7 linked regions of the Nothobranchius furzeri genome follow. The protein of the gene in region 7 purifies or fractionates together with the protein of the main gene of each other region. This does not show direct contact. Links are inferred from orthologs where the notes say so. Each region holds a gene or a part of one and is shown on either strand. Other genes may lie near its edges.

Region 1 (3,500 bases), on a different chromosome or scaffold from region 7:
CTTCTCAAATTTAGCTTTTGATCCGCTCTAATTTCCCTCTGGGATTAATAAAGTATCTATGATCTGATTTCCTTCTGACAACATTTACACCCGGATCGCTCATCCCGGCAACATCACCTCACTAAAGGTTCCCTTTCCCTTTGGTTCTACAAACATGGGCTTCAGGATCTCGATGTGACTCGCTTGTCCCTTCGTCTGGAGAAACACACAAAAAGACAAATTTAAAATTCAAAAACCAAAGTTTCCTAATCGGAAGTTTCTACTCACTCTCCACAGCTCCAGGGTCTTCTCCATCAACAGGAACGACGGGAAAAAGACCAGGAGGCCGCGAGGAACCAAACGACAGAGGTTAGCTGAAACAAACTCACGTCAGGAACCCGAGACCAAAACGAGGAGAACCATCATCTAACATCTACCAGCTCAGAAAAGAAGCTCCTCCGCCTTTCTCAGAAACGGCTTTAATGTGGAATAAACACAACAGCTGATGTCAAAAACAGGCCAAATAAACCCGGATGTGAGCAAACAGCTCCACAGCAGAGAACCAGAAACACAACAACAACAACAACAGTCGTAATTAGTAAACATCTGAACAGAAAAAAAAGGCAAAATGAAAATAAATAATAATAATAAATCAAATAAAAAAACGATTCTGGGTCCAGTTCTCAGTTTAGTCGTCCGAGAGCTCGTTTTAATTATAAAAGCCGAGCGGACACGTTTAACCGTCGGCGACGCAAAAGCCTCTTCCTGTAGAATAAATAGAACATTTTCTTTTATTTGTGAATATTAGTGGATTCATACGGGCAAAAACTTCCTTCTGAACTGCAGGCGTCAGTAATGAGGAAACAACCCATCAGGAACGGCAGTAGAAGAAGAGTTGTACCAAAGCCAGCATGACTCAGCATTCCCAAACGTAACTGTCCATTTTACAGCTCGTGCTGAAGTTTACCGCTCTGGTAGGAACAAAACCCATACGGTGCTACTAAGTCATAACCCGGTGATCCGTCGGCCCTCGTTGGATCGGCCAAGCGGCCGCTAGCTTACGGGGCAACAGCGGTTTCACACGACTACGAGTCGGAGATTTGGTGACTTCAACAAGACTCAAATTCATCTGAAACCCAAACCGCTGAGAACTACAGGGAAGAGACGAATAAACCTGCATCAGGTTCATGAAACTAGAACGTCCCAGAAAGACCCGAACCCTACCAGCTGACTGATTTATAACACGGTAATAACAGCACAACTCACCAACAGTGTTGCCTAAAGACGCCATGACTTCAGGAATAAACCTGAAACGGAGAAATATTAAAGCAGCACAGCAAAAACACCTACTAGCAAAGCTTCATGTGAGAAAAACAGTTATTACTCCATATCTGTACAAATGATGTGTTCTGTTCTTTTGTTTACTTGTTTAAAGAAGACAAAGGTTGTTTTTAGGTCCGAAGCTTTACTCGTTAAAACAACAAAATGTTGAATTCAACACCTTCTTCTGCTGACCAGCGATAAAAGACGCTGATCTTACAGCTGGTCCTCGTTTACCTCCGATTAAACGCCGAGCTCAGCACCACCGAATCTGGACCCTGATCCAGGACTCGGACATAGATCTGGTCCCGGCTGATCACATGACCGTTTTCAAGAAGCACCGGGAAATCTCTAAAGTAAAACAAGGAAAAAGAAACGTGGTTTCATTCAACGCTCCTAAACAAACTAGAACGTAAAACTGAAACACTGAAGAGAAACGAGTCTAGTAAGACCGATTTAAACCTCGCGTGATTGTTTAGTAATAAATCTGAATCAGGGGGCATAACAAGTGCTCTAAAATCTCTCTTCCTTCCAGTTTTGAATATTTAACACGGATAACTTTAGTCAGAAATCTGATTTTAACAGTGAGCGGTGCACAAAACTAAGAATTACCACTTGGTTAAATTCAGCGTTTAAAAGCTGCTTCAGCTGCAGAAATGTTGTGCATCAACTGAAGTTTTAGGGACATTTTAGCATGAAAGTAGGTGCAAACGCCTAAATATCAGCCATGAAAATCAGCAATAAATAAATAAATAATCAGCAACACACGTCGGCCATCAGCTGACAGCGACCTCGAAGTATCGGCATCGGTACTGGCAATAGGAAAAACGATATCGGCCGACCACGAACCTGAATAATTAAATAAATGTCGCAGCAGGATTCCCCCCTCTGGAAACACACTTTATCTGCTTTATCTGATCAGACATCGGACTCGTTTGTTTTGGTGGTGAACTCACATCCTCATCTCAGAGGTGAAGGTGGTCAGAGGTGAGAGGGTCCCGCTGGTGAGAATGATGCAGCGAACGCCCTGGTTCACCAGCTCCTGCATGCTGAAGCCCGGTGAGAAGCACCAGTAACTCAGGATGTTTCCTACGGCGCACACGACACAAAAACACGCGTTCAAAGCTGCTTCACAGACGCAAACGCTGACTAACAAGATAGAATAAAGAGAAACTGTTCTCTCTCTTGGAAAGCTCAGCCACAAAATGTTATTCCAGGTCACTAGGAGTTCCACATGGAGTCTGGTTACTGAAGTTAAAGTTCTGAATGTTGTGAACTGACTGACCTTGTTTCTTGGACGAAGCTGAAGCCCACGGATCAGCCGCTTGTTTCTTCTTGGCAGCGCTGGTGTCCCGATGGATGTGAACCTAAGTCAGATGGACCATAACGGCTAACGTTAGCGTAGCATAGTGGCCATCGACATACATGAGGACAAAAATCAGGTTTTAGGTGTTTTATTCACTAATGGGTCAAACCTGTAGGAGACTAAAGCAGCACGTTGCTACGATCATGACCCAAACATGCACCGAGGAATATTATAATTAAATATAAATACGGAGTCGTTCATTTCCAGCTTTGGTGTGTGAAACTAGAACTAAGGAGGAATGTTCTGCACACCACTCACCCAGAAAACCTGGATTAGTAGAATAAAAATAGGTGTGTGTGTATAAAAAACAGGTGTGTGTGTGTGTGTGTATAAAAATCAGGTGTGTGTGTGTGTGTGTGTATAAAAACCAGGTGTGTGTGTGTGTGTGTATATATAAAAACCAGGTGTGTGTGTGTGTGTGTGTGTGTATAAAAACCAGGTGTGTGTGTGTGTGTGTGTGTATAAAAACCAGGTGTGTGTGTGTGTGTATAAAAACCAGGTGTGTGTGTGTGTATAAAAACCAGGTGTGTTTGTGTGTGTGAATGAAAACAGGTGTGTGTGTGAATAAAAACAGGTGTGTGTGAATGAAACAAGTGTGTGTGTGTGTGAATGAAACAGGTGTGTGTGTGTGTGTGTGTGTGTGTGTGTGTATGTGCGTGCATCCGTGTGTGTGCGCATCCATGTATGTGTGTGTGTGTGTGTGTGTGTGTGAGAATGAAAACAGGTGTGTGTGTGTGAATGAAACAGGTGTGTGTGTGTATAAAAACCAGGTGTGTGTGTGAATGAAACAGGTGTGTGTGTGTGTGAATGAAACAGGTGTGTGTGTGTATAAAAA
Region 2 (4,067 bases), on a different chromosome or scaffold from region 7:
ATGTGCAGGTCACACGATGCCCACACATGACTGAAGTCTCTGTTATTTCTGCCTCAGTCACATGATTTGCCACCAGATCAAAATAATAAAATTATGGATGGGGGTACTGTTGTATAAAAACCCACAAAACAGGCTCAAGGTTGTGTATCAAACTCATTTTTATTGAATGAACAAAATCATTAAATTCCCTTTACTGCTTACATTTTTATTTTCAGACTCCAAACTTCAGACACCAGCAAAAAGACGAACAGCTGATCCTGCCGACAAAGCGGGATCCCAGTGCAAGGAGGAGCAGGAGCACGTCCCAATAATAAAGATCAAATCTGTCTGTTCAATGGCTCCTCCTCACCCAGCCCCACTAAGACAGGTAAGACCTTAAACAGATCATTCAGATGTATTACCAACAACTGGTCATCTAACCTGCTTTAGATAGCTCTGTGAACAGCCTCAGCTAAGAGAAACAGACACACATTCTAACCAGGTATGGGGCCTAGGTTTAGGCGCTATTACAGTATTACCGTAAACAGCCGGTGTTAAAACTAGCAACCGTGTCAGTTCCGATACCGTCATGAGAAAAACAGTGCACGTAGGAGACAAGGATTAAAAAGGAAAAAACTAATAAAAAAGATAAATACTGTAAGTCATTTACTGTATAAAACGGAATTTTAAGTTTTACTTAAATCATTTTAAACGTTTTGGAGTTTTAAAAACTTTGAGACTTTCAATAAAGTTTATGAACGTGATGTCATCACGTGACAGCGCAGAGGATGGCGCGCCGAGGGAAAAATGGCCGCTCGCGTACCAGCTGACTGACTGCGGTGTGTAAAAACAACACAACTGCAGTTTTTGAAGTATTTCTGGTTAGAAGCAAACTTGAAGGAAAGCCAGTAAACATGGATGAGGTCATTTGTGCAAACAAAAGATAACAGCAAAAGATGCATGCTCCGTCGCAACAGCAGAAATAGCACCTTCATGTCACGAGCCTGTTATTAAGAGACAACAACGCACTTTTCTGGTGAACGATATGATGCCAGCCTTCCCCAGATGTCACGACTTTGGTCACGACTAGCACCAATGTACCCGTATGCCGGTGCCACAAGCTCATCAAAGCCGGTTTTCAGCAGTCGGAGGTTGAAGCCAGAAAAAGTAAACATGCTGGTTTTCCAGGCTTAAAATCTTTTTATAAGCTGCGTTCTTAAAAAGTAGTTAATATTATATGTGTTGTTATTGTTTTAGTTATGGTGTTTGTTACTCATTTTCTGAATGGTGGAGGTCCATACACCTTGGTAAAATGTGGAGGGAGCTAGATGGTATTAGAATTTGGATATCGCCCAAGCCTAATGGGGTTAGGTACATAAGTGGATTTCTGTCAATAGAAAAACAACCTCTAGTCTCAAAAATTTTACGCTTTTGACGTCATGAAATTAGCTTAGTTTTGCTTTTCATTTAGCGGCTTATCGTCACTGGGTGTTGTTGAGGTAGACCGTGTAGATTATATCGTTTAGACGAGGCTCTTCCCGTTAAGCACGTGCAGTTTGCATATATTGGTTGATTGTGTTTTTGGAACAACTTTGTAGCTGGAAGTGCTTGTGGACCTGGTACCGGGTCCGTCGGGTTCGAGTTGTGTGACGCATAAGAATGGTAATTTGGCACCTCTAGTGGTGATGTGTGGTTAAAGCATCTGAAAAATGCACCTCACCTAAAATAAAATTCACCAGCCACCGCTGCAATCGACACAGCTATGTAATGCTTTTCTTACACAAAATTCTAGTTATTTACAGCTGGATTTAAGGGGAGATTAGTGACTCTTTCAATCAGATTTCACGTTTATACCAGAATACTAGTGTAATGAGAAATTGATGAAGGTGTTGAGGTTTAAAAATAATGTGAATAGGTATTTGGATGAACAACTGTAACATTTTAGATTAAAACTTTTTTAAGGAGCAGAAATCCACCTTGTGAGAAGCTTCTCCCTACAGACTTTCAGATACCATAACACTGATTCACACAAATTAGCTGTTTGGGGATGTTGGACAACATTATTTTAAAATAAGACAGACAGACAGATCACTGAATTATGATTTTATTATACTTGAAGAAAATCTTCGATTATTTTACAAGGGAATTCCCTGAGATTATTACCCTCTGTAAATGTATTATTTTCACCAGAACAGAGCACTTTTTAACAAGTACCATAACTACTTGTAGTTTATCTTTTTCCATGATTCCACCCACCTAAACGTGCCTCTAATCAGAAGATTAGGCCATTAGCCAAATGTAACTAAGTTATTCTGAACACCTTTACGTTACTTACCTGTGCTGTAACGCCACCAGTCCCAGAGTCAGGACCTGGGCCACCTCCAGCTGCGTGGGCCACTCTCCGGCAGCAACGCAGCCGAAAACCCCACACTCCTCTCCGATACCGGACTCTTCGAACTCCATGATACCGCCACTATTGTATTTCTGCCCGTTCGTCCTCCGGTTACCCCGTTAACGCAAAACGAGCGGTCTCGTGCCTGCTCGCCCGTGAGAAATCAGCATGCGCGTGCACGTATTGTATTCAAACACGTGCTCACAACGTGGCCAACAACGTCAGGTGACACCGTTTAAACTTGCTATCACGAGCCAGAGCAGGGGTAGTCGATAGGTTTGTTTCAAACTGAAGCAACAAACCACCGGATGTTATCAGTAATTAATCAAGACGGACCTGAGTTGCGCTGCACAAACTAAAATGGTGTTACTAAATGTTTCTGGTGGGTCAAAGGACGTCCTGACTGCGAGGTTTGTAACAAATCAATTCCCTTATCCCAGAAAACATGGTGGCATGTCGAAGTTTTTCTCCTCGTTAAAGTTTGAGCATCCTCCACGTGATAGCAATCCACCACTGTGATTGGTTGGGTTAATCCGTTGGATCGATGTGATTGGCTGCGGCAGGGACGTAAGACGCCCCGCTTCTCTCCTCCTCCCGCTGCATGTCCGCGCGCCGCTGTTGTTGCTGCTGCGCCTAACAACAACTTGTGGGGCGTTTGTGGTTTGTCTTTCAGGGCATTTCAACCCCGACCAGCACCATGGCCTCCTCAGGTACCGTGCGAATATCCTGCACACGTTTGATGTTGCATTAAATCAAATTGTCTGAATGTTGCGTGTGCTTTCAGATTTAAACGTGGGCAAGAAGCTTAATGAGGGAAAGACCAAGCAGATTTTTGAGCTGGTGGACCAGCCTGGATTGGTCCTGGTCCAGTCCAAAGACCAAATCACAGCTGGGAACGCTGCGAGGAAGGACCAAATGGAGGGAAAGGCCTCCATTGCCAACAAAACGACGTGCTGCGTGTTCAAACTTCTCCAGGAATCTGGTGAGCGCTCGGTGAAGTTTTCTAACTGTTTATCCTGTTTTTGATAGCAAAGGTTCTCCTTAACAACTAACACTGAAGTCAGCACTGGAGCTGGTGTCCTTCATGGTGGACACTATTCCAAATTTAAGCCATTTGATCTTTGACTAACTGGATAATCAGCAGCCATGCACCACACGTGAGTTTGGTGCGTTAACCAAACCGTTGTAATGACAGTCTTGTGACTTGCAGTGTTCCCGCCATTAATTCACCATAACAACCCCAATCATGGCTTCCTTGACCAGAATTTAATTTAGGCTTGAGGTCAGTCTCGTGCTCAAATCTTTAAACTTTTACTGCATTTAATTAAAATATCAATTCTAAATTAAACGTGTCTTGTGGTTTCTCCAAGTGGAATTATTTAATCCCCTCTCAGAGTTGGAGATTATCTTAATACGACGCACATTTTTCCCCAGGCATTAAGACTGCCTTTGTGAAGCAGCACTCTGAGACGGCCTTCATCGCAGCCCACTGTGAGATGATCCCCATCGAGTGGGTGTGCCGCAGGGTGGCGACTGGGTCCTTCCTAAAGAGGAATCCAGGAGTCAAAGAGGGCTACCGCTTCTCCCCGCTAAAAATGGAGATGTTCTTTAAAGTAAGCCCAACTGTACCGCAGCAATTTCCTAATGTTGTTATTTCTCTCACATATGACAAGAAAACCCATCTGACTCTAAGCTG
Region 3 (3,975 bases), on a different chromosome or scaffold from region 7:
GACCTGCATATATGAGGACACCAATGCTACTTCTCTTGATGCCGTTTAGACTGATTTATCCACACAGCCCCACCCAGATAGCTCCTACCTTTTGGCCGCCATCCTGACTAGCATTCTGAGCCTCCACACGTTTGCAGCCGTGCTGCAGTTTGTGCTGGATGAAAGCCTCAAGGGTGGAGAACTCGGACTGGCAGCGACCACATTTGTGCACATCATCTAGTAGCACAGAAACGGACCCAACCAGCATGAACCAATATCATAATTAGTGCCACAAACTGATTACTGTTTAATGTATTCGTGTCTGATTCACCCCAAACAGTGTGTACTTCCACCTAAAAATACGAAACTATGCTGCTCGTGTCAGTTAGCTGTTAGCTAGACATCACCTCGGTGAAAGTTAGCGTAGCCCAAACGCGTTAAATGATAAACAAATTCGGCTTGTTTGATACAGCCAGGTGACAAACCTTCATCTCCTAGTGTGGTCTGAATAGTAATGGTCTCGTTGCCGTTCTTCTCTGTTTCTGCCGTATGATTATTTTCCACATTCATGTCGTTTGAATTCTCCGTCTCTGTCGCAACGCTGCAGCGGGGAGGGAAAACATGGCGGATTACGACCCCGTAGTCATAACAACAAAAGGGCGCGTGCATGATTCTCTCACAGCTAATAAAGTGAAATTAAACATTTCTGATTTCGTTTTAGTCACCTTAATTTTTTCTTCAGTAAAATAGACAGGATTCACTCTGCTGCGTTGCTTTCATAGGCTATGATTTTGGCCAAATGTTTCTCTACAAATAAATTATTGTTTTTCATTCAGCTACAGGCACTTTTTATATTTAGAATGAGCAACAGAGAAAAGTAATGCTATTTGTTGTAGGAATAAAATGAAATATTACTTATGGACGTCTTCATGTCCAGTCCTACAACTAACAAGTGTTATTTGGGCAAATGTTAAAAACAAACAAACAAACAAAAAATAAACATTTTTACATCTCTGATATTTACATTTAATTTGTTCCATTGTTACAGAGAAAGTTAAATATACATTTTTTTGGTACTTATTATTAAAAATTTGATAGTTTGTCATTTGACCAAAATGAATGATAATTTAACATATGATAAGAGGTATTTAGTTTGATCACGCCTGTCTTGTAACCATAGACTGTACAGCTTGTAACCCAGTATTCACGACACAAGAGTAAACAACAACTTTACGGTAGTAAACATGGCTTCCCACTTCAGCGGAGTCTTGCAGCTAACAGATCTCGATGATTTTATCACTCCTTCTCAGGTCGGTCACTGAAATAATGTGAAATTAAGTCGTGTATTGGATTAATTACAAGTGGGTGAAACAGTAATTATGAACAATTCACCGGTCGTGACATTTAGGGAACAATTGACGGATTAATTATGGCGATGTAGCAGCTAGCACACGATTAGGCTTTTCGTAGAGAGAAACTTCTCATAAAATATAGGAACATTGAGTATTGGCTGAAGCTCATCACGAGTCGATGATTACTTTTTGATTTGTAACAAGTTGTAAAGTTTTACTTTTTTAAAACTATGGCGTAATTACGTCACTAGTCCATGCCGTAACCTGTGTAAAGACAAATTAAATCACTGAAATAAAACACTTTCAAAGACTAAATTAAATCAATCGTATTGGCTGACATATTCAGACATTTTTAAACACACTAAATGTCAGTTATAGGCAAATAAAGACAAACTATATTTTAGCTAGTTCTTTAGAAGAAGAAGAAAATATTTCTATAGTGCCTCTCAAGATAAAAATCAGGAGGCGCTTCACAAAAACAAAACATGTAAAAATATAAAAACGAATTTAGAAAATGGTTAAAAATATATTTAAAATGTGCAAGAAATAGACACTAGTGATTAAAAAACAAAATGTTAAGAAAGAGAGAGAGAGAGTGAGTAGGAAAGAGGGAAATCAGTGGATCCTGAGGAAGGTGGAATAGGTGGGGAGAGCAGAATAAAGAGAGAGTGGTGAAGAAGGTCATACCAAAGCCAGCTTGAACAAGTGTGTTTTCAGCTGCTTTTTAAATGAGACCACTGAGTCCACTGATCTCAGACTCAGGGGGAGAGAGTTCCAGAGTCTGGGGGCCACAGGATGTGCTGAAGAGGGAGCAGATAGAGGAGGAAGAGCAGAGGCCCCAGCACAGAACCTTGTGGGACACCATGGGTAAGAGAGGTGGTGGAGGACCTAAACTTGGAGACGGCCACAGAAAAGGAGCGCTCAGAAAGATAAGAGGAGAACCACTCCAGAGCAGATCCTGATAGGCCGACCCAGTCTCTCAGCCTCTCCAGTAGCAGGTGATGGTCAACAGTGTCAAAGGCTGCAGTCAGGTCCAGCAGGACCAGGACAGAACAGTCCCCTGCATCACTGTGAGTCAGAAGGTCATTAGAGACCCTAAGAAGAGCTGTTTCAGTAGAATGAGCTCTACGAAAACCTGACTGAAAGCTATCATAGATGTTATGTTCATCAAGAGCAGCTGTGAATTGTTTAGCCACAACCTTTTCCAAGATCTTGGAGATGAACGGAAGTTTAGAGATGGGTCTGAAGCTGCTATGGAGAGAGGGGTCAAGACTCGGTTTTTTAAGAAGCGGATGGATTACAGCATTCTTAAAGTAAGCAGGGACCTGACCAGAAACCAGAGAAGCATTATTTATAGAGCGCACGCTGGGACCGATGGACTGAAAAGCAATTTTAAACAAAGATGAGGGTAAGATGACGAGGGGGCATGCAGAGGTCTTCATAGAGTTAACTAGTTTGGTTAACTCAGGCAAAGAAACAGGAGCAAAGCTATCTAGGATGATGGGCCTGGTTGGAGTCGGGAGAGGCAGCGGTAAGGCTGAAGGAGAGATGCTAGATCTAACCTTATTGACTTTGTCCACAAAGAAAGACAGAAAGTTCTCACAGTCTGCAACAGAGTGGATGGAGGCTGTAGGAGAGGCAGGAGAGACAATGCTGCTGATGGTGTTAAACAGCACCTTGGGGTTCCCTTTGTTTTTATTAAACAATTGAAAAATTGAGGACACTCTCAGTATGAAGTAATGAAATTTTTCTTAGACCCAAATGAATCAGTAATGTTTTGTTTTTTCTTATGAAAACAGATAATTTTGTGTAAATTTTACAGTTTTTCAGATTATTCTCCCCATGCAATAGTGCTTAGTCATATTTCTCAGATGCTTTTGGATGTGATGATTGATCTCATTTACAATAGCGGTTTACACATTGGTGTGTTTTCCAGGAATGTGTTAAACCAGTCAAAGTAGAGAAGAAACAGGGTAAATCTGTGGCCAAAATCCAAATAGAAGATGACGGCAGCTATGTGCAGGTCAACCAGGTGGGTATCCTTGCTCAGTCTTTAATCAGTTTGAGAATTATTAAACCAAGTTTGAATGAACACACCCTGTGTTTACAGGATGGTGGGAAGCAGAAGCTGGAGAAGGCCAAGATCACACTGAACGACTGTCTGGCCTGCAGTGGCTGTATCACCTCGGCTGAGAGTGTCCTCATCACTCAGCAGAGCCACGAGGAGCTTTTAAAAGTGCTGCGCAACAACAAGGTAGACGTGTGTCTCTGAGCTTGTTCATTTTTGTTTTGCAAGTTTTGCATTCCGTCTAACCTTAATACAATAAGTGTTGTGATTATTTAGATTAACGAAGCAGAAAAGAAGATTGTAGTTGTGTCGGTGTCGCCTCAGTCCAGAGCCTCCCTGGCAGCTCACTACAACCTCAGCAGCAGTGAGGCAGGCAGGAGGCTCACAGCTTACCTCAAAAACCTGGGTGTGGACCTTTTCTGTTTTTATATCATGCAACACCTAAGCAGATAATCTGAAGATTATTCCTGGGGGTGCTTTTGGCAGGGGTTCATTGCGTGTTTGACACCAGCTTCAGTCGGACCTTCAGTCTGTTGGAGAGTCAGAGGGAGTTTGTGGAGCGTTTCCATCGGAAGG
Region 4 (3,500 bases), on a different chromosome or scaffold from region 7:
CTACCCCTTTTTCCTGCATTAGCTTCTGATAGAAAGTAGATGGGGAAAGACTCGGATTAGAAAAGCTAGTCAGATCTATGTCGCACAGAAAATTAGCGTTCATGGACTCGCCCATCTTGGCTCATGACAGGGAAGGCTGTTCTTGGTTTAGCCTCTAGGAGAGGGCAGAGAGCATCCCAGCTAGAAGAGGCTAACCATTAGTGTTAGCATCTCTGCAACATGGCAGAACTCATTCAGACTTACAAAAAAAAAAAAAAAGGTGGTGGAAGACACGTTGTTGTTGTTAGCCAATCAGAGGTGAGATCAGAATATCAGGAAACGATAATGAGTAAAATTCCAAATCCTGCTGTTTTCCGCCACCATTCTCCGTCTAACTTCTGCTTCCTGCAACAGGAGCGCCAACGCCAGAGCTTTTGTCCTCTCACAGAGAACGACACACAAGGCATTCATTTATAGTAGAGACCACAGCAGATGTATTGAAAACAAACAAACAAGTGAATCAGAGCTGTAAAGCCTAAAAGCATCCCTGTGTTCCCAGGTTCATGGTGGACAGCGATGTTGTGGGATGCTGTTGGATCGAACTTCCCAAAGGCAAGTACAGAGTACGCGAAGAGAAGAGCCACGGGGACACAGATTCTCAGCATCCAGGAAAGGTCGGTCCTGTTTTCCTTCATAGTGTGTGCTGTAATCTGCGTGACAACCATACTACCGATTTACAGATTTTTTTCCTTGTTTTCTGTTTTTACATCAAGAATGTTAGAGCGGTGGTTGAGATTTTTGCTTTTGCCCTGCAGGTTTCGCTGTGCCAGTATGAGGTGGATGTTGGATGGACGGATCTGATCAGTCACCCTGCAGAAGGAGACTGGCAGAGGATAGCCCCTCTCAGAGTCCTCAGCTTCGACATCGAGTGTGCAGGAAGAAAAGGTAATACGAAGGCTTCTGTATTGTACCAAATATCAGTAAATGATTTAAACACGTCTCCAAGGCTTTGACAAACTCTTTTAAGATGCATTTGTTTCTTTCCAGGAATCTTCCCAGAACCAGACAAAGATCCTGTGATTCAGATCGCATCTATGGTCCAACGTCAGGGGGAGACGGAGCCTTTCATCCGAACCGTCTTCACCCTTCAGCCCTGTGCTAGCATCGTTGGCTCGCAGATCTTCTGCTTCACTCAGGAGAAGCAGCTTCTTCAGGTAACGGCTCACGCCGGGAGGTTTGTCCCTTTATTACGGTGTCCCTTATCCGTCCTGTTATCTTGTCTCTGTGTGAGCAGAGCTGGGCGGAGTTTCTGAGGACGGTGGACCCAGACATCATAACTGGATACAACATCCAGAACTTTGACTTTCCCTATTTGCTCAACAGGGCAGCTGCTTTAAAGGTTTGGCAGAGACACGTTTAATCTGTGTTGAAATATAAGAAATCTCCCTCTTTGCTTTGAAAAAGATGTTATGTTTTCTCCTCCACCTTTGGTAAAATGTTCACGACTTTCCAGGTGACTTATTTTCCGTACTTGGGTCGAATGCGGGGCAAACGGTCCGTTTTACGAGAGTCGAGTTTCCAGAGTAAGCAGATGGGTCGCAGGGAGAACAAAACCATCAACATGGAAGGTCGAGTCCAGTTTGATCTGCTGCAGGTCGGCATGTAGCTTCTGGTTACTCTACACTAGGCTCTGTGAGTGATGTTTTCAGGATATGTCTGTTTGTGTGATTCTCTCAGGTCCTCCTTAGGGATTACAAACTACGCTCCTACACTCTGAATGCTGTAAGCTTTCATTTCCTGCAAGAGCAAAAGGAGGACGTGCAGCACTCCATCATCACCGATCTGCAGGTAGGAGTCCATGGGTCGGGTTATGGCCCCTTCAGGTTTGACTGCTTTTATAAATTGTTAGGTCAGATAATTGCCTTGCTTTGATGAGTTGAGATAGAACAAGAGATGCATATATATATTTTTTCAGTTTTTAATCTCTTATCGTCTGTTTCCCTCCTCACCAGAATGGAAATGAACAAACGCGGCGTAGACTGGCGGTCTACTGTCTGAAAGACGCCTATCTGCCGCTGCGGCTGTTGCAGAAGCTCATGTGTGTGATTAACTACATGGAGATGGCCAGAGTGACTGGAGTACCGCTCACCTACCTGCTCTCAAGAGGACAGCAGATCAAAGTCGTGTCTCAGCTGTTGAGACAGGTGAGGAAAAACAATCTCAAACTCAAAACGGTTTTGTTTACGTTACAGAGGTGCACTTGTGTGTTTTCACCTTGTGACATGAGCCTGGCTCACCTGGAGTCTCTGTGTAGATGCTACCTACCATAACATCTGATAAGCTGTAACAAGAGCAAAGTAAGTGGAAGCTGGTTTAGACCCAGATTGGAGCGAGTGGTGAATAACACTTTACCCGACTCGCCTGTCCTCTTTCTGTGGAGGCAGTAGTTCGTCTGATCTCTTCTCATTCTCAGTTAAACTTTTGCTTTTTCACAAATGCCACCAGATCACACATGACCGTGCAGCTCTGTGAGAATCAGACATATTTATCCAGCAGGGATTCATATAAACATGGGGTTGGCTTTTAAATGCACACATAATACCTCATGCATAGTCAGTGGGCTGTCTTGAATGGCTGAGAGAGAGATGCTGTTCGGTTTGCAGCTCAGAATGAGGCAAGGATTCATCACTAACCCTAAATGATATTCAGAAAGTGCCTAAGCATTTACTGCTGCTTCCAACTAGACTTTAAAGAACAGTACGTTGGAATAATATCAGTTTCTTTACAAAATCAGTGCCAGAAAGGCTCAAACTGTGCAGCTCCAGCTCATGTTGGGGTGTGTGTAGAAAATAATGTGTGTGTTTTCTGTTCTAGGCGATGAAACAGGACCTGGTGATGCCGGTAGTAAAGACAGAAATTGGGGAGGACTACACTGGAGCTACGGTCATCGAACCAGAGAAAGGGTGGGGGCATATTTACTGGTTATGCTGGTATGGAGCCACACTCCTCCTCCTGTGTGTCTGATTAAAACTGGTTTGTAGATATTACAGCCTTCCTATTGCCACCCTGGACTTTTCGTCTCTGTATCCATCCATCATGATGGCTCACAACCTTTGTTACACCACGCTGCTGCAGAAAGGATCTGCAGAAAAACTGGGGTGAACATGTTGTTTTTTTTTTTTTTTTGTTATTGTTCTCATTAGCTGTAGCTGTTAATTTTTAAAATGCTTTACTGTACATCTGCAGATTATCATCTGAAGATTTCATCAAGACTCCAACAGGTGACCAGTTTGTAAAGAGTTCTGTGAGGAAAGGACTTCTCCCGGAGATCCTGGAGAATCTGCTTGCTGCAAGAAAAAGGTTAGAGCTAAAAGAACAATCACCAATTGATTATTTAATTGAAAGCAGAATTTCCATAGGATCCCATTTCTTCCAATAAAAACTAGGGGTGCAACGGTACGCTAAACTCGTATTCGGTTCGTTTCAGTGTTTTGAAGGGCTTGGTTCGATTAATTTTCGGT
Region 5 (3,500 bases), on a different chromosome or scaffold from region 7:
GCCTTTCAAAGACTAGTCGCTGTCACGTGATAATGACAGACAAGATGCAGTCCTCGGAAAAGACAGCAGGTGACCAGCCCCTGCGTGTTGGGAGGCGACGCGCTGTGCCACCGCGTCGTATCTGACTCCCGCGGAAAAACAGACATTTGACCAAATTGTGACCTTTACCCTCTTGCAATTTAACCTTCCCCTCACCCCCATCCTAACCTTAACCAGCTTGTGCATGCAAAGCTCTGATCGTTGACACGCTTCAGACATCTGCATCCTGAGCACGGCCACAGTAACATTATCAAATTAGGTGTCGCCACCTCAAAAACTAATTTAACACGCGATCGTTCATGTTGGCTCATTTCCTTTTATGTTTGAAGCAGGGGAACAGTAAAGATGCAGAAACTACCATTGTGTTTAACGTTGCAAATGTGGGGGCAATTTTAATTGTCAAAAACTCCAGCGAACCAACCCACTTCAGGTGTATGACGTCATCAACGACTAGTCAAAGTCGACTCGATTTTAATTACTTGACTTAAAAAAGTTAAGTCATGCAGCCCGTACTCCACATTCAGTGTTACTGCAAAATTAAGTTTGTTTCCAAATGAAAAGGTTCAACCGTTCATATCTGTAGTAAAGGCAAATGTGCACATTTGCAGTCACTTTTGAAAAAATATTGAGTTTGGCCCGCAACTTCGTCCCAGTTTTTCATTTTGGCCCAGAGCAAATTTGAGTTCGACACCCCTGCCTTAAGCTGGGTTTATGCTTGACACATTCACTTTCCGCTTGGTGATGCGGCTCGCGGCTGGAACGCGCTTCACAACTCTCAGCATTTATGGTTCATGCGGCTTGTCTCTGTGGTGAGCCAATATTCTCCCAAGCTGTAGGGGGCAGCATGGAGCTCTATGGCATGCATCCAACACTACACCATAGTAGAAGTAAAAATTACTGTTTACAACATGGCATTCCAGCAATTTTAACAGCGTCCTCGTCTTTTCCAACAGTGCGAGCTATTTCTCTCCAAGAATTATTAACATGTTGATCATGGCGATCTCTGAGAGCTGAATCATACAAATGTCTGTATTTACAAACCTCTGCCATACTAGTTCTTGCCAGTCCGCGATGTTTTTCCGCGTCCGACCGTCCGCGTGGTTAGAAAATTTCCTAGGTGCGCGGTGCGGAAATTTTGGGCCGTGCGGAGGTGCGGTGGAGGGGTGTGGTTGTTAAAATGACGCAATTTAGCCGCGCGGACCTCACGGACGCGTCAAGCATAAACCAATCTTTAGTATACCTCCCTGGTTGGAAGGTAGGCCCTTTGACATAATCTGGGACTTTCAGGGAGGACGTAGAGCACTCACTGCTGACGTAGCTCAGACCTTAGTGGAAACACAACAAACCAGGAGGAAAAGTAATGTTGTGCTTTTTGGCCACGTATTTGAAATGTGTCTTTATTGGGAAGTAAGCTCAGATAAATGTCTAAAATGATCCTACAGGTGTGTATAGCTGAACCCCACCCAGTAAGCCAGACCCACACCACCACTCTAGCGCTGTACGTGATGAGATGTTGAGAACATCCAGTGAACCTGTTCTGTGTGTGTGTCCAGATGTCTGAGCCCTGCTCCCACTGCCCTTGTGCCTCAGCCAAAGATGGTGTGAAGGACAAAGATGGCAAAAAGAAGATTCCAAAGATTTTCTTTGGCACACGCACCCATAAACAGATTACTCAGATTGCACATGAGCTGAAGCGCACAGCGTACTCCAGCGTACAGATGACCATCTTGTCCAGCAGAAAGCACACCTGTGTTCATTCAGATGTGGTACCTCACTTCAACCGCAACGAGCTGTGCAAGGAGCTGCTGGAGGACAAAGAGGTGAGGAACGGACACACACACACACACACACACACACACACACACACACACACAAAACATCATGTGAAAAACAACAAAGATTCATCAGGAAGTGTGGGACATGCAGTTACTGACACACCTAACACTGAGGAGAGTCACATAATGAACACATAGCCTCAGAGAAGCAATTATACACAATTGGTTGACAGAACTTTTTTGACACTCTAGAATATCAAGGACCATTTTTGGAGATGTGATACACTTGTAACCTCCTATAATGTCCTGAAGTTCGGGCGCCTACTGTAATATAGACAATTATGTTGTCATTAGAGGTGTTAGCCTCCCATAGCAATCATCTCACTTTTGTCATGAAAAGCTGCCCTCGAAATAACCCCCCCCCCCCCCCCCCCCCCACACACACACACATAAGCAGGTGTCACTGACACCCTGAGTGTGTGTGTGTGTGTGTGTGTGTGTGTGTGACCTAAGGGTCTGGTTCAGTCATTGTCAGGTTATGCTGCAGTACTGACTCTGATGCACAGAGAAACTGCTCCTAACACAACAGCTTCCTGGACACTTTGGTCAGAGTTGTTCTGAGGGTAGCTGGAGGCCTTAACACCCCCCCACCCTCCCACACACACACCCCTACCCTCAAAACAGCTGTGTGACTCTGCCACCAGGGCTTGGTGTCTATGAAAGGTCCATGCTTAGCACAGCTCGAAGAGAAGAGGACCATATTATCCACAGATGATTGCTTTGTCTGTAGCCGGGTCCACCTATGTGAAGTGTTTTTGTGACAGTGTCACCTTAAGCTGTTAAAGTCACAAAGAACAGGGTGGGACATCTAAGAGGACACGTCTACTTGTAGTAGTCAGGACTAGCTGCAGGATAGGCTACATGCACCGTATCAATGTCTGAACGTGTAAGCTGTACACGGAAAAATACATAAAATACTTTAAAATAAAAACTCAGTTATTTTTGTTTTAATGTTAATAGTTAATAATTAATATGCTGTATTGTTGTATGGTCATAAAGCCAGCCTGATAAAACTGGGCTTCCAGATGTTTCCAATGCTCAAGTGTGATGAGCAGATGATCAGCTGTAGAAGATGAGTCGTAGCTCTGCTTTTGACTTTGCCACATTGACCAGGGTCATAGTAATAAAATGTTTAAACTTACAGATATGTGTAAAAAGTGTTTTTGATGGTTCCATGCAGTAGAAGGTCATTGTGAGTTCTGTTTATAGTTTCTGAGTGGGAGAAGTTCACTCTGAGTCCAGAATGTCTGCAACTAAAATATTTGTAGCATTATTAGATGACAAGAGGCCCAAACACTGGGAATATTTAATATTTGGGTCAACTTCTTGTAATTGTCAGTAAAAAACCTTTGAAACCTCGAGTGGTTCTACTCCAGTAACCATAGAAACATCTGGCGGAAAATTAAACAAACTTTGAAACCAGAGTTTCTTAACCTTTGACCACCTTTGTAGACCCACACATTTTATTAAGATATAAACCAGTTTTGGCAAATTGGTTTAACATCACCACTTCTCTGAATGAAGCTGTTAAATGTGTGCCTTACAGGGGCGCTCGTGTCGCTACTACCATGGAGTCAAAAAGATGGGAACTCAGCATTTACTGCAGTCAGTCCATGGACTGTGTGG
Region 6 (4,092 bases), on a different chromosome or scaffold from region 7:
CAGTGTGGTATGGTGGGTGTAAACTCAACACCTACCGTGCTTTCTGCATCATTGACCTATTTAAAAAATGACAAAAGCACAAAAAGTAGTCATTAGATTTTTCTGAGCAGCAAACCTGGGCTTAACTATTGAAATCTTGTCAATAAGTAGACTGATTTTACGCCTGTGCTCTAATACGTTTGTTGACCTGCAAATATGTGTTGTTTTATAAAAAGCTCAGCCAAAAATAAATACAACTGCAATCTGAACCTTCTTCGCCCCCTGGTGAGGTCTTCATTGACTCTTCTGCAGCTCACCTACCAGCCAGGTATTAGGAGCGATGCCACCGTCCACTGAGCTGTGGCCCAGCCGGAGCAGCCTGGAAGCACTGTGAGGACCAGGCTTACTGATTTCTTCAGTGCTTTTAACACCATTCAGCAGTGAACTCGGACATAAGCTGGAGCTTCGACACATTTGTATTATCTTCTTTAAAATGTTTATTTAGCTTGATATGTTTGCTAGTATACAAGGCCTGAAAACACTATTAAATCATTTTGACAATTACATTTGGCAAATTCAAATGTCAATATTTTACCTCCAGGAGATGATTCGTGCCTTTATCAGCATGACAATTGACTACTGTAATGTTCTTCATGTTAGTTTCCTACAGCCGTCCATGAAAATGCTTCATTTGGTCAAAAAATCAGCCACTCACCTTTTAAAAGACACCTCAAGATGTGCGCCCATAGCTCTGGTTTTATTTTCCCTCCACTCGCTTCTGTTTGTTTTGGGAAAGATTTTAAACTTTTGTTTGTTTTAAAGCTCTTAATTGTTTGGCCCCACCTTACGTCTCAGATTAACCGAGTGTCCGTGTCAGATCGCTGAGGTCTTCATCTCCATTTCTCCTCAAACTTCCAAGAACTACATTTAATCACTGGGGTGACTGAGCTCTCGGTTGTGTCGCCCTGGAACCAGCTACCTTTAGATTTACGTGTGGTCACTGACCTGAGCCATTTTCTATCCAAACTTAAAACTTTATTAATCAAAAAGGCTTTTAGCACTTTGTAGCATTGTGTTATTCTAGTTTATTCCTCACTTTCTACTAAGGGGGTGCAGCAATTGCAGTTTTTGGCTGACCACCGATCTTGAGAAAAATCTGTCAGTTCCTTAAGACTTTCATTTTTCTAATTTTGAAAACAAAACTTTTGACACACTTGTCCAAATAATTTTTTTATATCAATGATTTGCTTTAACATTAACAAGGGGGGAACCAATTGCAGTTTACGGTCGATCCTCGATCTTGAAAAAAAACCCGAGATCAGGGCCAATAGATCGATGCACCTCCACTTTTTACTGATTCTGTCTCTTTGTTCATTGTTTTTCATTTGAACAACACTTTGATGATCTGGACATATAACCTTTAATGTACTATATAAATCCAATAAATGAAACTGATATTTTACACGGAATTTGGGACAAATGTCAGTAGCGTAAAAGGACCAAAGTGTCAAACTTCGACTTGATCCCTAACCTATTTAAAAAAATATGGAGAACTTGTGAGTGGAAGACGTCTGATATTGGTTTTTCCATTGCCGATACCGATGTGTAGGAGATATGACCAGCCGATAATGGCCGATATTTGTTTTGGGCTAATTTTATATACACATTTTCCACTTAATGATAAAATGTCACTAATAACATCAACTGATGCACACAATTCTTAAGCTGAATCAGTTTTTGAACACTGAATTTAACTAACTATTAAATCTTAATTTTGTGCTCTGGTCAGTGTTAAAGTCAGACATCTAAATAAAGTTAATCAAACAAATTTATGAATTGACCAAATATTAAATATTCAAAGCTGGTAAATTATAGTTGAGAAATAGTGAGAATTTATTATGCAGATGTTATTCAGGAAGTAAAAAAGTATTTTAAATTAAATTATGCAACAGCACCAAGCTGCCCTAAGATGTGCCTGCCTTAATCAGTTTAACTAATACGTTTTATAGGCTGACGCCGATATATTTATAGGTAAATATCGCCCAGCTATATCAGTTTATCCCTACTGGTGAGCACATTAGTTTTGCTCACATTTATCCCACCATATTAAATTTCCTTTTTTGTTTGGTTTTACAATTAATAAATTAGACTCAAATGAGAGGACATACCTTGACTCGAACTTGTTCCACCACATTGAGTTCCTCAAGAGACAAAGGATGTTCTGGATCATTGATGGATCGGATCAGATGTAACTTCAGTTAAAGAATTATTTAAAATATATAATAAACAGCTTTTCTCTTTGATGTGTAATCGATGCAGTTGTAGATAATAATATAAGCCACTCTAAACATAATGTATGTCTCCCGTACTTCAGTGGTCAGGCTTTTATTTTAATTCGCTAGATTTCTCTACGTTTTCCTAAGGAAATGTACCATTTAATCATCTGAGTAAAATAAACGTTTCTTTGCGCCTCTCAGTAGTTAAATTAGCCTAAACCAGAGAAAGGGATCGAGGATATCGAATATTTCTCTGTCGTCGATGAGGTCGTGAACGTCTTCATCCTCTTCGGACGCAGTCAGCGGCCTGTCCCTGCAGCGCTGGAAGATCACGGGGTTTGCGTTTTCCATCTGGACCCCTCGGGACATTTTAAAGTATGATTTAGCCCAAAATAAACTTAAAAAAACACTCCCAATCTGAAAAACTTCTCTAGAGCTCCAGTGGTTTACTTCCGGGATAAACGGGAAATGACGTGTGACGTCATGAACTTCTTAAAGAAACAGCGCTCATCCAGTGAGAAAAACACCCTGAAACAAACCAATAAAATAAAGGCTGGAATTCTGCTAAAAGTCGTAGATTTAAACGTTTGCTTCGAAAAACACCCGACCAAGTTAAAATATGTATTTTCTATAGTAATAAGAATTTTAAATAAATGCAACAAATGTAACTGTCACTTTTTAATTGATAATTTTGGTGGATTAATGTCCTACCAGTAAGAAAAGTTAAATAATGAAAGACACATTCTTTGAAAAATTTTCAAATAATCAAACGCACCCTGATTGTTGATATCAATTAAGCCTCATCATGATAAATATGAACGTTATTCTGATTAAATATGCCGGTGAAGGTTCTCAGTGATCCAGGTCATGGGTTTAAATGAAGGCAACTGGACTTCTTTGGATTCTTGAAGACGTTTCGCTTCTCATCCGAGGAGCTTTTTCAATTCTAACTGAAATATGGGAGAGTCAACTGTATGAATGCTGTACTAAAGCAAACCAAACAAGTCCGGACATATTATTTTAAATTGTTGAATATTTTGCAGGAATAAACTTAAAGGAAAGGATTACAGAGTCAGGAGCTTTCTTTTCTTGTCTTTATTGAACACACGCCAAAAGAAACAACTTATCTGAAGTGCAACAACCTCTATGGTTTCTATTTTGTTAAATAAAGTTTTTAAACAGCCTCTTTTCCTTGAGGATCACTTTTAACATAGAACTTGCACCCCATCTTGTGGCATAAAAACGTATCACACATTGCTACATGATACAAATAATTCATCTCAGAACCTTAACGTGTTTGGACCATCGACATAAATAGGTTTGGACCGACAAGACAAGACAAGACAGCTTTATTTATATAACACATTTCCCACACAGAGGCAACTCAAGGTGCTTTACAGCAGTAAGAACAGACAAAACACACAAGCACAAAAATGAACTATGGAATTAGATATACTAAAACTAGAAGACTAACATAATAAAAAATTGAGAAAAGAACTAAATGTGGTCAGCTGAAGGTGTCAGGAGACTAAAACTAAGGCAGTAAAACTGCTACAGTGTACTATAGACAAACATTGTTGAAAACCAACAGAATTTCAATGCTTTAAGTAGAAAAGAGGGCTAACCAGGAATTACAATCACCTACAAAAAATACATTAACAAAGGGTTGCAGCGGATTACTAAAACTTAGAGTATTGAGGCAGACCCAAACTAAAGCAGTGAAACTGGTACAATGAACTACAGGAAACATTGATGAGTTAAAGTAGAAAATTAACAGAAATTCTACACTATGAGTATTTCTGTTACCAAAATGTTTAAAGTATGTTTAGTGGCTTCT
Region 7 (3,500 bases):
GAATCAGAATCGGAAATCTTTAGGAACCAGAATTGAAACAAGGAATTAGAATCGGAATTGTTCAAATTCAAACGTTGCCCAACCGTAATCATGAATGGATGTAGAGACAGGCCTACGAATGTAAATAAGGTTTATGTCAGTGGTGTCCAAAGTGGGACACACAGGCTATTTGTAGCCCTCATGGGGATTTTGAACAGTCCTGGGTGGTTCTGATAAATAATCCACACTTGTGTAGCTCCTTTCAGAGTCAGAGGACTCCAGAGCTCTTTACTCTACAGTGTATCACAGAGAATTCAGCTGATGGAGAAAATAGCTTCAGACGACAAGATTTAGACTCTTATTTCCTGATATTTGTCATCTCACATCTGATTGGATAACAGCAACACATCTCTACCACTGACTCTGCTCTACAATGGTAATGTTTCATCTCCACAAATAGCACAAGCCTGGAGGAGTTCTGCTGTCTGGTGGAGTTCCTAATGCTAATAGTTAGCTTCTACTAGCCAAAACGTTCTCAGCTGTTTCCTGGGAGCTAAACCCACAAGTTATATGTGATGTTTTTTGTTGTATTATTTGTGTTTTATAAAACAAAAATATTTCTGTAACAAAATTTTGTAACATAAATTGACTGAAGTCTCTGGAGCTCATGCAGCAATATTTTATAAACATTTAAGCTTCTGTGAATTTCTGCAGGAATATGAATAGATTTCTGCATTTGGTTATAGTTAAACTTTAAATAACAATATTTTACAGCACTAATGTAATGATTGATGGCGGCGTTAACACGAGAAACACGCTTTAGTCTTGGCTGCAATTAGACTAGCTGTTAGCCCATCAGTCTTGTCAGATTTGAACTGTTTCTCTGAACAGAGGCTGTTCAGTAAGCTGTCCACAATGGGACATTATATGTCCTTTTTAAAAAGCTTAATCAAAGTGGCTTTTTTCTGCTTGACGTTCCATCAGAGCTGAAAGGTTTGGGAGCCGACTTTGTTTTTGGATTTGTCCAGTCAATGGACGGAGAGAGGGATCCCCGCAACCTCCTGTTAGCCTTCCAGATAGCCAACAACATCATTCTGGGAGGATACAGTCTAGGTGAGGATCTTCTCACCGCACCATCCTCTGTTCCTCTTTTATTGTCACTGTTTCACCTTTTTACTTTCCCAATCAGGTAAATTCACAGAGGAGCTGTTCGAAGTGACGTCCTGCTACTTCCCCATAGACTTCACCCCTGTAAGTTCCTGTTCACTCAGCTGGTTGAGCTCATCACAGTTTGTTGCTGTCAGGCAAGACACTTAACCCCCCTTGCCTGCTGGTGGTGGTCGGAGGGACCGGTGGCGCCAGTGTATGGCAGCCTCGTCTGTCAATGCGCCCCAGGGTAGCTGTGGCTACATCGTAGCTCATCCCCACCAGGGTGTGAATGTGTGTGTGAATGGATGAATGACTGATTGCGTTGTAAAGCACCTTCAATCAATCTATTTATAGAGCGCCCTCCACTGCCTCTGCGGAAGCCCAAGGCACTGACCATGACATAGATTAAAATAAAAACAGATTGATAAAAAGTCCTAAAAACCACATACAAACATAAAAGCATGATGGAACACACACACACATATATATGTTAATATATGTATATATACTCTATGCCACATAGAGGATTTCACCTCGATAACGATAAATGGACGATAACTACAGGTATGCGCAGAAACAAAAGTTGTCCACTAGATGGAGCTGTGGCGTGTTTTAGTTGAGTCACATTTTTACATGACTCAAGGTGGTGCAGCGTCTTAAAGGTACATTAACGCTGCCAACCTACATACATCTTTTAATTTCTTATTATCAAATTTATTGACATGGGAACAATTATCTCGATAAGAGTCAGAAATTTAGATAACGATACATTTTTTATTTATTGCCCAGCCCTATTATATATACATCAGAGAAGGATAAGAAAAATAAAAACAAGTCACATAAAAGCCAAACGATAAACATGAGCCTTCACGTGACTCCTGGCCTGTATTTGACTCTTGAAGACAACAGGTGAGGGTGACTGTTTGATGCCAAGTGGCAACTCATTCCAGAGGGATGGAGCCAAGACCGAGAAAGCCCGATCTCATCTAGATCTGTACCGGGATTGAGGAACAGTCAGTAGCTCCAGCTCAGCCGAGCGTAGAGATCGTGAAGGGGTGTGACGTGTTAATAATGCTGCAAAGTATGGTGGAGCACCACCATATAGAGACCAGAAGACAAAGCAAAGGACGTTCAATAGACCACAGGAAGCCAGTGTAACAATGCCAGCACAGGAGTAATGTGCTGAATTTCCTCGTCCCTGTCGGCAAACGTAGGGGGTTCCAGGACTCTAGAAGGTGCTATATCAAATACAGGCCATTTACCATCACTGATGTTGGCAGAACAGACCGACTCTGGAGCAAAAAACTAAACCGTTTAGCGTAGGGATGGACAATATATCGGCATCAATGTCGGTATCGGCCGATTTTAGTCATTTTTTAACATATCTGTATCGGTTTGATAAATAAAACCGGGCCGATATTAACGACCAATATTTTTTCCATCTTGTCTTCATTTGTTTGCCTGTTTCAGAGGGTGAGGGGGTGATGTGTCTATGTTTAGTCATGTGAACAGTGAATGAAATCATCTCAGAACCATAAATGTGTGTGGTGTGTGTACATAATAATGTAAATTTGGCTTTAATAATTTTCGTTTTATACAAAATTACTGATTTTAGAAGCATTAATGTCAGTATTTCTGCATCTGCAAATATCGGTTATTGGCCATAGCAGTGATCTTAATATTGGATATCGGTATCGGCCCAAAAATGTTCATATCTGTGCATCACTAGTTTAGAGTCAAAGAGCCTCACACACACGCGATTGCTCTCAGGATTCTTTACTGTTGGAGGACACAGGACTGATGGGAGCACTCATCTTTTTTTCTTCAGGGGCTCCAAACAATCAGAAAATTATCCGTCATTTAAAGAGACTTGCATTCCAGTCTCTGAAGCTTTAGCAGAGCACGAGCCAAAACAAATCCTACACACTAGTTTCAGATATTCAGTAGATTCGTAATAAGTGAATCATTTTGGTTCATCTGATTGTATTTGACATTTTATCACCACTTGTTTAAGCTTTTCTTGGGTTTAATTTCCTGTAAATTATCTTGTTTTTTTCCTCTCTCTTCTTGTGACCACCTCTCACCCTCTCCAGCCCCCCAACGACCCCCATGGCATCACCAAAGAGGAGCTAATTCTGGCTCTGAGGACCGTCCTCACAGGGACTCCCAGCTTTGCAGAGGTGGGGCGGTATCGTGACATGACGATTATTCATTATGGTACAATTTCAGGATCTAAAAATGTTCTTGTCCATTTCCAGTTTCTGTTGCCACTCATCATTGAGAAGATGGACTCGGACATTCAGAGTGCAAAGCTGGATTCACTGCAGACTCTTGTGAGACTGACTACAGCCGCAGCTTAGAGAAGAATAAGC

The links.
Region 1: the proteins of mms19 (region 7) and rtel1 purify together in Homo sapiens (affinity purification with western blotting; 4 studies listed by BioGRID and IntAct, with this or other methods). This does not show direct contact. The link is inferred for Nothobranchius furzeri from reciprocal best matches to the Homo sapiens genes MMS19 and RTEL1.
Region 2: the proteins of mms19 (region 7) and ppat purify together in Homo sapiens (affinity purification with mass spectrometry; 3 studies listed by BioGRID and IntAct, with this or other methods). This does not show direct contact. The link is inferred for Nothobranchius furzeri from reciprocal best matches to the Homo sapiens genes MMS19 and PPAT.
Region 3: the proteins of mms19 (region 7) and narfl purify together in Homo sapiens (affinity purification with mass spectrometry; 3 studies listed by BioGRID and IntAct, with this or other methods). This does not show direct contact. The link is inferred for Nothobranchius furzeri from reciprocal best matches to the Homo sapiens genes MMS19 and CIAO3.
Region 4: the proteins of mms19 (region 7) and pold1 purify together in Homo sapiens (affinity purification with western blotting; 3 studies listed by BioGRID and IntAct, with this or other methods). This does not show direct contact. The link is inferred for Nothobranchius furzeri from reciprocal best matches to the Homo sapiens genes MMS19 and POLD1.
Region 5: the proteins of mms19 (region 7) and brip1 purify together in Homo sapiens (affinity purification with western blotting; 3 studies listed by BioGRID and IntAct, with this or other methods). This does not show direct contact. The link is inferred for Nothobranchius furzeri from reciprocal best matches to the Homo sapiens genes MMS19 and BRIP1.
Region 6: the proteins of mms19 (region 7) and ciao2b purify together in Homo sapiens (affinity purification with western blotting; 11 studies listed by BioGRID and IntAct, counting the BioPlex papers as one, with this or other methods). This does not show direct contact. The link is inferred for Nothobranchius furzeri from reciprocal best matches to the Homo sapiens genes MMS19 and CIAO2B.

What each region holds. Positions count from the first base shown.
Region 1 is NC_091755.1:45,470,236-45,473,735, reverse strand, and holds part of rtel1 (regulator of telomere elongation helicase 1), read right to left. Parts: intron 2,667-3,500; coding exon 2,585-2,666; intron 2,389-2,584; coding exon 2,256-2,388; intron 1,651-2,255; coding exon 1,537-1,650; intron 1,287-1,536; coding exon 1,246-1,286; intron 354-1,245; coding exon 268-353; intron 196-267; coding exon 118-195; intron 1-117. UniProt on the Homo sapiens protein: A probable ATP-dependent DNA helicase implicated in telomere-length regulation, DNA repair and the maintenance of genomic stability. Acts as an anti-recombinase to counteract toxic recombination and limit crossover during meiosis.
Region 2 is NC_091748.1:40,604,852-40,608,918, forward strand, and holds the start of ppat (amidophosphoribosyltransferase), read right to left. Parts: upstream 2,801-4,067; 5' UTR 2,443-2,800; coding exon 2,315-2,442; intron 368-2,314; coding exon of another isoform or gene 216-367; intron 1-215. Other genes in the region: paics (bifunctional phosphoribosylaminoimidazole carboxylase/phosphoribosylaminoimidazole succinocarboxamide synthetase), read left to right, coding at 216-367, 3,045-3,081, 3,156-3,353, 3,806-3,984. UniProt on the Homo sapiens protein: Catalyzes the formation of phosphoribosylamine from phosphoribosylpyrophosphate (PRPP) and glutamine.
Region 3 is NC_091752.1:55,723,568-55,727,542, reverse strand, and holds the start of narfl (cytosolic Fe-S cluster assembly factor narfl), read left to right. Parts: upstream 1-1,175; 5' UTR 1,176-1,223; coding exon 1,224-1,289; intron 1,290-3,267; coding exon 3,268-3,363; intron 3,364-3,441; coding exon 3,442-3,585; intron 3,586-3,675; coding exon 3,676-3,805; intron 3,806-3,885; coding exon 3,886-3,975. Other genes in the region: transcription factor E4F1, read right to left, coding at 1-3, 89-216, 465-648.
Region 4 is NC_091752.1:51,276,356-51,279,855, forward strand, and holds part of pold1 (DNA polymerase delta catalytic subunit), read left to right. Parts: intron 1-538; coding exon 539-653; intron 654-794; coding exon 795-924; intron 925-1,026; coding exon 1,027-1,193; intron 1,194-1,273; coding exon 1,274-1,378; intron 1,379-1,492; coding exon 1,493-1,633; intron 1,634-1,716; coding exon 1,717-1,827; intron 1,828-1,991; coding exon 1,992-2,183; intron 2,184-2,853; coding exon 2,854-2,942; intron 2,943-3,020; coding exon 3,021-3,137; intron 3,138-3,225; coding exon 3,226-3,339; intron 3,340-3,500. UniProt on the Homo sapiens protein: As the catalytic component of the trimeric (Pol-delta3 complex) and tetrameric DNA polymerase delta complexes (Pol-delta4 complex), plays a crucial role in high fidelity genome replication, including in lagging strand synthesis, and repair.
Region 5 is NC_091753.1:22,952,023-22,955,522, forward strand, and holds part of brip1 (Fanconi anemia group J protein), read left to right. Parts: intron 1-1,592; coding exon 1,593-1,859; intron 1,860-3,420; coding exon 3,421-3,500. UniProt on the Homo sapiens protein: DNA-dependent ATPase and 5'-3' DNA helicase required for the maintenance of chromosomal stability. Acts late in the Fanconi anemia pathway, after FANCD2 ubiquitination.
Region 6 is NC_091752.1:28,659,461-28,663,552, forward strand, and holds the start of ciao2b (cytosolic iron-sulfur assembly component 2B), read right to left. Parts: upstream 2,801-4,092; 5' UTR 2,625-2,800; coding exon 2,498-2,624; intron 2,228-2,497; coding exon 2,148-2,227; intron 57-2,147; coding exon 1-56.
Region 7 is NC_091756.1:28,170,986-28,174,485, reverse strand, and holds part of mms19 (MMS19 nucleotide excision repair protein homolog), read left to right. Parts: intron 1-963; coding exon 964-1,092; intron 1,093-1,168; coding exon 1,169-1,230; intron 1,231-3,221; coding exon 3,222-3,308; intron 3,309-3,386; coding exon 3,387-3,461; intron 3,462-3,500. UniProt on the Homo sapiens protein: Key component of the cytosolic iron-sulfur protein assembly (CIA) complex, a multiprotein complex that mediates the incorporation of iron-sulfur cluster into apoproteins specifically involved in DNA metabolism and genomic integrity.